2 linked regions of the Arabidopsis thaliana genome follow. The protein of the gene in region 1 interacts with the protein of each later gene in a pairwise test. Each region holds a gene or a part of one and is shown on either strand. Other genes may lie near its edges. The genes, in order: AMT1;3 and AT3G56370.

Region 1 (4,454 bases):
GACAACAAATGCGAAACTTTCAATTATACTGTACAATAATTTGGATTACATTTAAAGTGGTAGTTGCAAGAATATTAATAGAAATACTTTCGGCATTTAAAATAATCTTGCTGTGAATGTCTACTCGTTGAACTTTGAACCAAAAAAAAAAAAAAAATCTAAGAAGTATAATAATTAGAGACTAATAGAGTCAATAACTCATTCTTTAAAATATATAGAACTAGCTGGAAACAATAGATTTGAATGGTACTACTTAGAATCCAGCAGGGTTCTTTAAAGTCATCATGAAGCAATGCAAAGTCTACCACTCTTGGCGTAATTGTTTTTTGGCACAAAAGTTAATGCAAAAGTCTTGATTATCGCAATTTTTCTTATGATGCCTTTGGTTTCTAACATCAGAGGATAAAAAAAGAATTTCACGAACAAAAATTGTGAATTTTGATATGCATAGAGGCGAGCTATAGACTCCCTAACGTGCTATTGCGTCGAGCCGTGGTGCTTACCTAGTTACACAGTATAACAAGCCTGCTTTAGTTTTATTTCATAAACCAATATAATGTAAATCACTTACTATGGCTTTTCGTATTTAGTAAACAATTTTACATTTATAATTTTCAGTTGACCTAAATTAAAAAATATGTACTACAATTAATCAATAGTTACTACGTATTACTAAAGAATCAATATTTGTTATGTGGTAATCAATGATGTCACGTCAATTCTTGACATTATTTTGTACGATTTAGAAAGCTACCGTCTACTAAAATATGTGCATAATTTAACGTTCATTATTTTAGAAAACAGTTTGCTTTGTCTATTTTTCTGAGTGTCAACTCTCATTTACAACTCATCAGTAAATATATAGATAACAAGTCACAAGTGTCTCCCATAATGATTAAGTTAGGTTGACTTAAAACATGATTAAGGTCAGACACACACACACATACATATATAGAAAGCTTTCAGTTTTTAGAACTAGTTAGTGACAATAAAAAGCCTATTGGTGAAACATCAGCACTTGTAACAACTTTTAAGTATATTTATTCAAATACATCATAATAGATTTTTGATCAAAAGAGATCATCATGTTCCTAAAAGTAATACTTGACTTGAATTTTCATGGCTTGGCACAAACTGAGAGATAAATGTCTTTTTTCAATCATTAAATATCTTAAAATATATATATATATATATATATATATATATCTTAAACATGAATGTTTTTGTTTTGGTATAAACGTGAATTATTCATGAACTGTTAATAGGTTTCAATGTCAATTGGATCGAATTATTGTATATATCTCTTGCTTGAAACTATATGTCGTGTGTCTTCATTTTTTTGTTTTCCTAATTGAATACTTTATACATGCATGTAGTATTATTATACAAAACCAAGATAATTTTTTTTAATGCTTCTGTTGATGATCTGAGTAATTTTGGACATATCTAAGAGTTAAGGGTGTAAAGTGCAATTTTCAGCAAATAAAACGTGGTTCCCGCTAACCCATGTTATCATTTTTGGTTTCAACCTTCAGCAAACTTAATTAATATTTGGTTATGAACTTTATTAAAATTTTGCAAGATTATCATAAGATTGTCGTATAAAGAGTGCTGAATCTTGACTTAATTTCATAAAACTGCTGATCTAAAATCGACATCTATGTAGTAAGTTCTGATCGGTTTGCTTGAACATATACGGTTGAGCTAGGACAATTATTCTTTGATTTATTACTTTAAATACTAGTATCAATTTTATTCACAAATTTATTTTTGTAATTTTTTTATACAAGCCTTTAATTTACCTTTTTTTTATTCACACATTACATGGCAATCACTTAATCACCAAAAACCGTATAGGATTAGGATCGTAATTTGCAAGTTATTAAGAAGATTTGGCAGATTACATCTCTAATTCAATAATGTTGTTACGTCACATAACTTCTTAAATAATTGATAAACTCTCTTAAATACGAACTTAATTGGTCTAGCCGGAATCTAAAGTCAACCCTAAACTCCTCCTTCTTCCTTTTAAGAGACACACAAGAGACAACCTTTCTTCTCCGTATCTCTCTTTCTCTCTCTCAGCTCTCTCAAACATGTCAGGAGCAATAACATGCTCTGCGGCCGATCTCGCCACCCTACTTGGCCCCAACGCCACGGCGGCGGCCGACTACATTTGCGGCCAATTAGGCACCGTTAACAACAAGTTCACCGATGCAGCCTTCGCCATAGACAACACCTACCTCCTCTTCTCTGCCTACCTTGTCTTCGCCATGCAGCTCGGCTTCGCTATGCTTTGTGCTGGTTCTGTTAGAGCCAAGAATACGATGAACATCATGCTTACCAATGTCCTTGACGCTGCAGCCGGAGGACTCTTCTACTATCTCTTTGGTTACGCCTTTGCCTTTGGAGGATCCTCCGAAGGGTTCATTGGAAGACACAACTTTGCTCTTAGAGACTTTCCGACTCCCACAGCTGATTACTCTTTCTTCCTCTACCAATGGGCGTTCGCAATCGCGGCCGCTGGAATCACAAGTGGTTCGATCGCAGAGAGGACTCAGTTCGTGGCTTACTTGATATACTCTTCTTTCTTAACCGGATTTGTTTACCCGGTTGTCTCTCACTGGTTTTGGTCCCCGGATGGATGGGCCAGTCCCTTTCGTTCAGCGGATGATCGTTTGTTTAGCACCGGAGCCATTGACTTTGCTGGCTCCGGTGTTGTTCACATGGTTGGTGGCATAGCAGGTTTATGGGGTGCTCTTATTGAAGGTCCTCGTCGTGGTCGGTTCGAGAAAGGTGGTCGCGCTATTGCTCTGCGCGGCCACTCTGCCTCGCTAGTAGTCTTAGGAACCTTCCTCCTATGGTTTGGATGGTATGGTTTCAACCCCGGTTCCTTCACTAAGATACTCGTTCCGTATAATTCTGGTTCCAACTACGGCCAATGGAGCGGAATCGGCCGTACAGCGGTTAACACCACACTCTCAGGATGCACAGCAGCTCTAACCACACTCTTTGGTAAACGTCTCCTATCAGGCCACTGGAACGTAACGGACGTTTGCAACGGGTTACTCGGTGGGTTTGCGGCCATAACCGCAGGTTGCTCCGTCGTAGAGCCATGGGCAGCGATTGTGTGCGGCTTCATGGCTTCTGTCGTCCTTATCGGATGCAACAAGCTCGCGGAGCTTGTACAATATGATGATCCACTCGAGGCAGCCCAACTACATGGAGGGTGTGGCGCGTGGGGGTTGATATTCGTAGGATTGTTTGCCAAAGAGAAGTATCTAAACGAGGTTTATGGCGCCACCCCGGGAAGGCCATATGGACTATTTATGGGCGGAGGAGGGAAGCTGTTGGGAGCACAATTGGTTCAAATACTTGTGATTGTAGGATGGGTTAGTGCCACAATGGGAACACTCTTCTTCATCCTCAAAAGGCTCAATCTGCTTAGGATCTCGGAGCAGCATGAAATGCAAGGGATGGATATGACACGTCACGGTGGCTTTGCTTATATCTACCATGATAATGATGATGAGTCTCATAGAGTGGATCCTGGATCTCCTTTCCCTCGATCAGCTACTCCTCCTCGCGTTTAATTTTCAACTTTTTGGTAATTTATTACCGTTTAAGTATTGTTTGGGTTTTGGTTTTGAAATATAAATATTTGGATGTTTTGGTTTGTTTTAAGTGACCTATCGTCTTTTTGTGTTTATAAGTGTTTTAGTTTATGTTTTTTTTTTTTTTCTTGAATTTTAATTTTACATGCCTCGGCTAATGTTTATGCTATTTCTTAGAAATTTATATATACAACTTTTGGTGATCCAAAAAGGAGAGTTATGCATATACTGTATACAACTTTGCTTAGGTTTTTGTTCTGCCGACGGCATTAGGAAATTGGAGTACACAAAAGTTGTTCTTAGAATAATATAAATTCTGAAAAATCATTTGTGTACCATTTCGTACCAAAAGCAGAACTTAGTCATTCCCTTATGTACACGTAAAGCGATTTTTTCCAATTAGTTAACTAGCCACGCTTAGGTACACGTAGATATTATCTTTTACTTGAACGATGTTGGTTAATAAATAATACTAGAAGAAATATGACATGTCATTACATCTATGTAACTGGTCACTTGTTTAGAACTATTGAACTAAGCCTAATGGGTTTTATTAGCCTAACAATTGTTGCTATTAATCGTACAAACTAAAATTAAAATATAAATCAAATTCTTGCGTCCTCGATAACTTTAAACAAAGGAGTATGACCCATATTTTGTGGTTGATAAATTTTAGCACCTAATATTTCAATAGTATTTTTTATTTATTTCAAATTCTGCTAAACAAAAATTTTTATAACATATATTCCTTGTTTGTATACACTTTCGAGACCTGTAGAATCATGGAATTACGATGCAATTCCAGTAGCTTATACCTTGCACATCATCTTTTTGTGCATA
Region 2 (6,778 bases), about 12 Mb from region 1:
GTTGTTAATTTATATATGGATATATAGGATAACAATATATCAAGAAATGATTTGATATGATTTTATCTTCCTTATAATTTAAGATACAACAAGTTGTGGTTTTGTTCTTGGTATTTGATTCTCTGGAAACTGGTAAGAAACTTGGTGTTTTATGTCAGTGACAGTGCTTTGTGATCTTGTACGATGATAACGAAAATCCAAATATTAATTTTTAATTTCCCATTTGTTTGGCTTTTCTAATCGTGCGTATAATGAAGATGCAAATTTATAATCATATTTAATTTTCAAAATGGATCACAAATCTGTATCAGAATCTCAGTTACGAAGTCCCCATGATTCTCTAAAATTTAAGATATATTATCATTTTTAGTATTTGAATTTTTAAACTATGGGCTTGTTCGATGTGTATATTATTATTTGTCAATTTTAATTATCGTGAAAACCTCAAATTTTAATACGAAATCTTTGACCGATATGATAGCTGCATAGTTGCATGGGCCAGCCTTGTAACGCGTTATAAGTAGCTGCGAGTCGCATTTCTTTAGTTCAATTTGTTTTCTTTCCTGAAATATAATTCGGACTGTAGAACTTTGATAAGCCTTATTATTATCTGAGCCCATTTATCGTTTCTCATTAATGGGCCTCTAATGGAAGAGTTGGACCCATCTTATCCGTAGTTATTTACCATGGAATAAAAAATGAAACTGTAAGTAATCAATAATTAAATAAATATAAGAAAATTTGGAATTTTACATCACCGGAAAGTAAATATTTTACCTTTTAATGGCTGGTCCTAAATGCCAATCCTGATATGACAGAGGAAGATTCGAGTAAAAATTGAATGTGGAAATAAATACTAACTGTAGAAAACAAACAAAGGGTAAATTCTTCATATAGATGGAAAGCGAAGAACAGTAAATGTGAATTCGCTACGGTCCGGCTCACACTGCCCAAAAAATTCCTCGAAAGCTCTTAAAAACAGTAGTAAATTTGACCCTATATTTTTAGAATACATTAAAAAGTAAAAAAGGCCTCTTTGTTAAATTGCAAATAGAAACAAATAGTAAATTCCAAAATTTCCATGAAGGGTTGTTTTCCTTCCATGGGGAAAAGAGTTATTTTTCATTGTTTATTTCATAATAAATAACTTTTACTGTCAAAAGGAATATAAAATTTTAAAACATAGGTATGGGAGAGAGACCGAAGTCTGATAAAATGTCTTGACTCGGACCAAATCTCAAACGAGAAAGACAACAATTAAAAAAATTCCAAGAGCATGCTTAACGGATTATAATATTTTTTTCAACATCATTTGTTCTATTATCTGTTTTTTTTAATGTTTTATTTTATGGCAATAAGTGTTTGACACTTAGTTATTCAACCGCATTTCAATCTGTAGGAAAAGTTTACATAATGTATGATTCCTTGCACAAACAGAAGATCCAAAATTTACATCTGTAGCTCCTCCAAGTCAACCAAAATCCTTAGGTTTGTGATCCAATTTCAAAACCCCATAATTTTTCAAGAAAATTTGTAAACCCATAATTAATAAGTTTGATGCATTGACTACTGACCAGGACATTGTACATAAATGAACAATAACATTATGGTTGCAATTATTAATGATCTCTAAGCACCACAAAATATTTTTTCCAGGACACCATCATCATTCCTCACCAACTTACTTTAATGTTCTTACTTCAAAAAACAAAATAGAGAATCAAAATAAAAAAATGAAAAACCAAAACTATGGTGACCACTTTAACCACTGTCTCTTTCTGCATAATTTTTTACCCAAAATACCAATTCTCTGCATGAGAATAACAGAACCAACCACATTCCACATTATTTCCATTTTATGTGAAAGATTATTTTCTAATTAGTTGAATCATACCAAGAGGCCACAGAGCAGCATGTAAACCCATTAAAGAAAGTTTCTATTATTTGGGAAGGATAATTTAGTCATATTCAAATTTATAGTTTCTTTCTTTATGAGTTGGCCAATCATTTATTCATTTTCCCACTTACTATACCAACACAAAATAAAAATAAAAGCCACGTGTCAGCCAAGTCGGATTCGTCAAACCCAACAAAATAAATACACGTGTCAATTAAAGAGTTTTAATGAGTCCACCCACCTTCCTCGGGCCCCACACTCTCTTCTTTCCAGCCCGTTGATAAAGGCAGCTTTTAATTACTCTCTCTGCTCTCTTTTTTTTTCTTTATTGGCTTTTTTCTCTTCTTCCCAAATTCACTCTTCTTTTAAAGCTACAAAACCTAACAAAGTTGAAGAAGAAGAAGAAGCTCGTGCTCTCTCACTTTCTTTTCCTACGGTGTTTTTTTTCCCCCTGAGCTGCAACATTCTTCGTCGGAAATCTTCCCGGAGAAAATTCTTACTAGGTGAGAATTCCTCATTTCCAGATCGTAACTGTCCAATGACTCCTTTACTTAAAAAAACTCAAGTTATTTTGCTCAACATTTACTTCAGCCATTCACTTGAAGGTTGAATATTTCTTCAATTTCTATGAATTTCAAGTAAACTGTAGCTACTTCTATTCATATAACTAGCCTTTGTTTTACCGGATTTTTCTTCATTGTTTTTTGCTTTGTTTTGCTTCCTCCGTTGGCCGAAATGTAGCCGTTGAGATAGATTTTTGTTCTTTTCTTCTACTAAATCTAACGCCTAAGAATACGAACAAACAAAGTTTTTGTTTTGAGATGTACTGTTTTTTTTTTTCTCTTGTGTTCACCAATTTTCTTCTTTCTAATTTCAGCTCTACATAACTGAAAATGGAGGTCTTCCGCAACTAAAATCTGTTCAACGGAGAAGAGGGTTGTGGAAAGATGTACAAAGCACTGATTTTTACAGTCTTGTTGGTGTCGGCAGTAGCTCCGGTGAGATCTCTAGACCCGCCTTTAAACGACGACGTTTTAGGGCTCATTGTCTTCAAAGCCGATTTACGAGATCCAGAGCAAAAGCTAGCTTCTTGGAACGAAGATGACTACACTCCTTGTAGTTGGAACGGAGTCAAATGCCATCCGAGGACGAATCGAGTCACTGAGTTAAATCTAGATGGCTTCTCTCTGTCTGGTCGAATTGGTCGTGGCCTACTTCAGCTTCAGTTTCTTCATAAGCTCTCTCTGTCCAACAACAATCTCACGGGAATCATTAACCCTAATATGCTGCTGAGCCTTGTTAACCTTAAGGTTGTTGACTTGAGTAGCAATGGCTTGTCTGGTTCGCTTCCTGATGAGTTTTTCAGGCAATGTGGGTCATTAAGAGTTTTATCTCTGGCGAAGAACAAACTAACGGGGAAGATTCCGGTTAGTATAAGCTCGTGCTCGTCTCTTGCTGCTTTAAACTTGTCTTCCAATGGTTTTTCTGGTTCTATGCCTTTGGGGATTTGGTCTTTGAACACTCTAAGATCACTTGATTTGTCGAGGAATGAGTTAGAGGGAGAGTTTCCAGAGAAGATAGATAGATTGAACAACTTGCGTGCGCTTGATTTGAGTAGAAACCGGTTATCTGGTCCTATTCCTAGCGAAATTGGGAGCTGTATGCTGCTGAAGACTATTGATCTTAGTGAAAACTCTCTATCAGGAAGCTTACCAAATACATTTCAGCAGCTCAGTTTGTGTTATTCTCTGAACTTGGGAAAGAATGCGTTAGAAGGTGAAGTTCCAAAGTGGATAGGAGAAATGAGGAGTCTTGAGACTTTGGATCTTTCCATGAATAAGTTTTCAGGGCAGGTTCCAGACTCCATAGGCAACCTTCTAGCACTGAAAGTTCTCAACTTTTCTGGGAATGGGCTTATTGGTAGCTTGCCGGTCTCAACAGCCAACTGTATCAACCTCTTGGCCTTAGATTTAAGTGGGAATTCACTAACTGGAAAGCTTCCCATGTGGCTATTTCAAGATGGTTCTCGTGATGTGTCTGCATTAAAGAATGATAACTCTACTGGAGGTATCAAGAAGATCCAGGTTTTGGATCTCTCCCACAATGCATTCTCTGGCGAGATTGGAGCTGGTCTAGGAGATCTTAGAGACCTGGAGGGATTGCATCTGTCCAGAAACTCTCTTACCGGCCCCATCCCCAGTACCATTGGGGAACTAAAGCACTTGAGCGTCCTTGATGTGAGTCACAATCAGCTCAATGGAATGATTCCTCGAGAAACAGGTGGAGCTGTTTCTTTGGAGGAGTTGAGACTTGAAAATAACTTGTTGGAGGGAAATATTCCATCTTCCATCAAGAATTGCAGTTCCCTTCGGTCTTTGTAAGTCTCTTTTGCTTTAGGTTGCATTCTGTTAAGATTTTCCCATTGAAGATTATGTCTTAACTGTGTTCTGTTTCATGCTTCTTTCTACAGGATCCTGTCACATAACAAGCTGCTAGGCTCAATTCCACCAGAGCTCGCTAAACTTACAAGACTCGAAGAAGTCGACTTATCATTTAATGAACTGGCCGGAACACTTCCTAAACAGTTGGCTAATCTCGGCTATCTTCACACATTCAACATATCTCATAACCATCTCTTTGGGGAACTACCTGCAGGTGGAATCTTCAACGGTTTATCCCCAAGTTCAGTATCAGGAAACCCGGGAATTTGCGGTGCTGTTGTCAATAAGTCTTGTCCTGCCATCTCCCCTAAACCGATTGTGTTGAATCCTAATGCAACTTTCGATCCTTACAATGGTGAAATAGTGCCTCCAGGTGCTGGTCACAAAAGGATACTGCTTAGTATATCTTCTTTGATAGCCATTAGTGCTGCTGCAGCCATTGTGGTTGGTGTAATAGCCATCACGGTACTTAATCTGAGAGTGCGCGCATCAACGGTTTCAAGATCAGCAGTACCGCTCACGTTCTCAGGCGGAGATGACTTCAGTCGATCTCCCACTACTGATAGCAACTCAGGGAAGCTGGTGATGTTCTCTGGTGAACCTGATTTCAGCACTGGAACACATGCTCTGCTTAACAAAGACTGTGAGCTTGGTCGAGGTGGATTTGGAGCGGTGTACAGAACAGTTATCAGAGATGGGTATCCTGTAGCTATCAAGAAGCTCACTGTCTCGAGTCTTGTCAAGTCTCAGGACGAATTCGAAAGAGAGGTGAAGAAACTTGGAAAACTCAGGCATTCGAATCTGGTTAAACTCGAAGGATATTACTGGACAACTTCTCTCCAGCTTCTGATCTATGAGTTTCTCTCTGGTGGGAGTTTATACAAACAGTTGCACGAAGCACCAGGAGGTAATAGTTCGCTTTCTTGGAATGATCGGTTCAACATTATCCTTGGTACAGCGAAATGCTTAGCTTACTTGCACCAATCAAACATCATCCACTACAACATCAAATCGAGCAACGTGTTGCTAGACAGCTCTGGTGAGCCTAAAGTAGGAGACTACGGATTAGCGAGGCTGTTACCTATGCTAGATAGGTACGTGCTGAGTAGCAAGATACAGAGTGCGTTGGGATACATGGCTCCAGAGTTTGCTTGTAGAACGGTGAAAATAACAGAGAAATGTGATGTTTATGGATTTGGAGTCTTGGTCCTTGAAGTGGTTACAGGTAAAAAGCCTGTGGAGTATATGGAAGATGATGTTGTGGTTTTGTGTGATATGGTGAGAGAAGCTCTTGAAGATGGAAGAGCAGATGAATGTATTGACCCAAGGCTGCAAGGGAAGTTTCCGGTAGAAGAAGCGGTTGCAGTGATAAAGCTAGGGCTTATTTGCACTTCTCAGGTTCCATCAAGTAGACCACATATGGGAGAAGCTGTTAACATATTGAGGATGATCAGATGCCCTTCAGGGAGCTCAGATGAGTTGGGTTCAAGTTGAAAAGAAGGTTAAAGACTAACATGTTTTTTCACCAAGTTCCGGCGAAGAGGAATCCGGTTTGTTCATTTGGGGGTTTTAAGAGAAATCCTTGTTTGTGTTTGTTTTTTGATAATCTCTTATGTGTTATCTTTTGTGTCTGTTAGTTTCAATTTCAATGTTTGTAGCTTCTTCTATTTATTGTTCTTGTAACATTTTTAGGGCTGTATCGGATTTGTCTTCACCGGGTTCCATAATATGGGACTCTTTCGATGAAATCTTAAGTATTATTATGAAAGAAAGCCTGTAGTCTTCATTTCAGGTTCTGAACCATCTTTTAGCAGTCGTAGAAGATAAGAGCTTTCTTGTGAGACAAATAAAAACTTAGGGTTGAGAAAAACAAGAATCAAGATAAAACTTAGTGACTTCGTGTGATGATGCTCTCTGAACAAAGAGAGTATAAAATAACTTAAGAAGCTTCATTTGTTGTAACCATGTGCATGGGACTCTGTGAAAACTCAACAATTTAATGGGTCTGATCTTTTATTGGATTATGGGAATCGAAGAAACGTCTCAAGAATCTGTAATTAAAATACATTATTCATTAGTATCTTTTTGAGGGATAATATAAGTACATTTTTAACAGAAGAACCCTAGTTTCAATGGCCGATAAAAGAGGAATGGAGCATGCCTTGTCTGAAACAGACCACGTTTTTCTCTCTTGGAGTTGGGAAAGACGAAATTAGTACTACAATCTACGTTGTCTAGCCTCGGTAATTTGCAACATTTTGACATTTTAACTCATAAGTTAAAAATCCATTTCAATATTGTACATGATAGCATTAAAGTGAGATGGCATCTAACGTTTTGACTTTCTAAGCCAAATATGCTAACACTTTTTTTTTCCATTTGAAATGGAACCTGAAAAAATAAGTTACTTAAGGGACATTTTCCATTTATAATTTTTTTC

The links.
Region 2: the proteins of AMT1;3 (region 1) and AT3G56370 interact in a protein complementation assay, tested with the Arabidopsis thaliana proteins (one large-scale study listed by BioGRID).

What each region holds. Positions count from the first base shown.
Region 1 is NC_003074.8:8,804,997-8,809,450, reverse strand, and holds AMT1;3 (ammonium transporter 1;3), read left to right. Parts: upstream 1-1,990; 5' UTR 1,991-2,096; coding exon 2,097-3,593; 3' UTR 3,594-3,932; downstream 3,933-4,454.
Region 2 is NC_003074.8:20,898,457-20,905,234, reverse strand, and holds AT3G56370 (Leucine-rich repeat protein kinase family protein), read left to right. Parts: upstream 1-2,154; 5' UTR 2,155-2,400; intron 2,401-2,774; 5' UTR 2,775-2,844; coding exon 2,845-4,274; intron 4,275-4,367; coding exon 4,368-5,832; 3' UTR 5,833-6,136; downstream 6,137-6,778.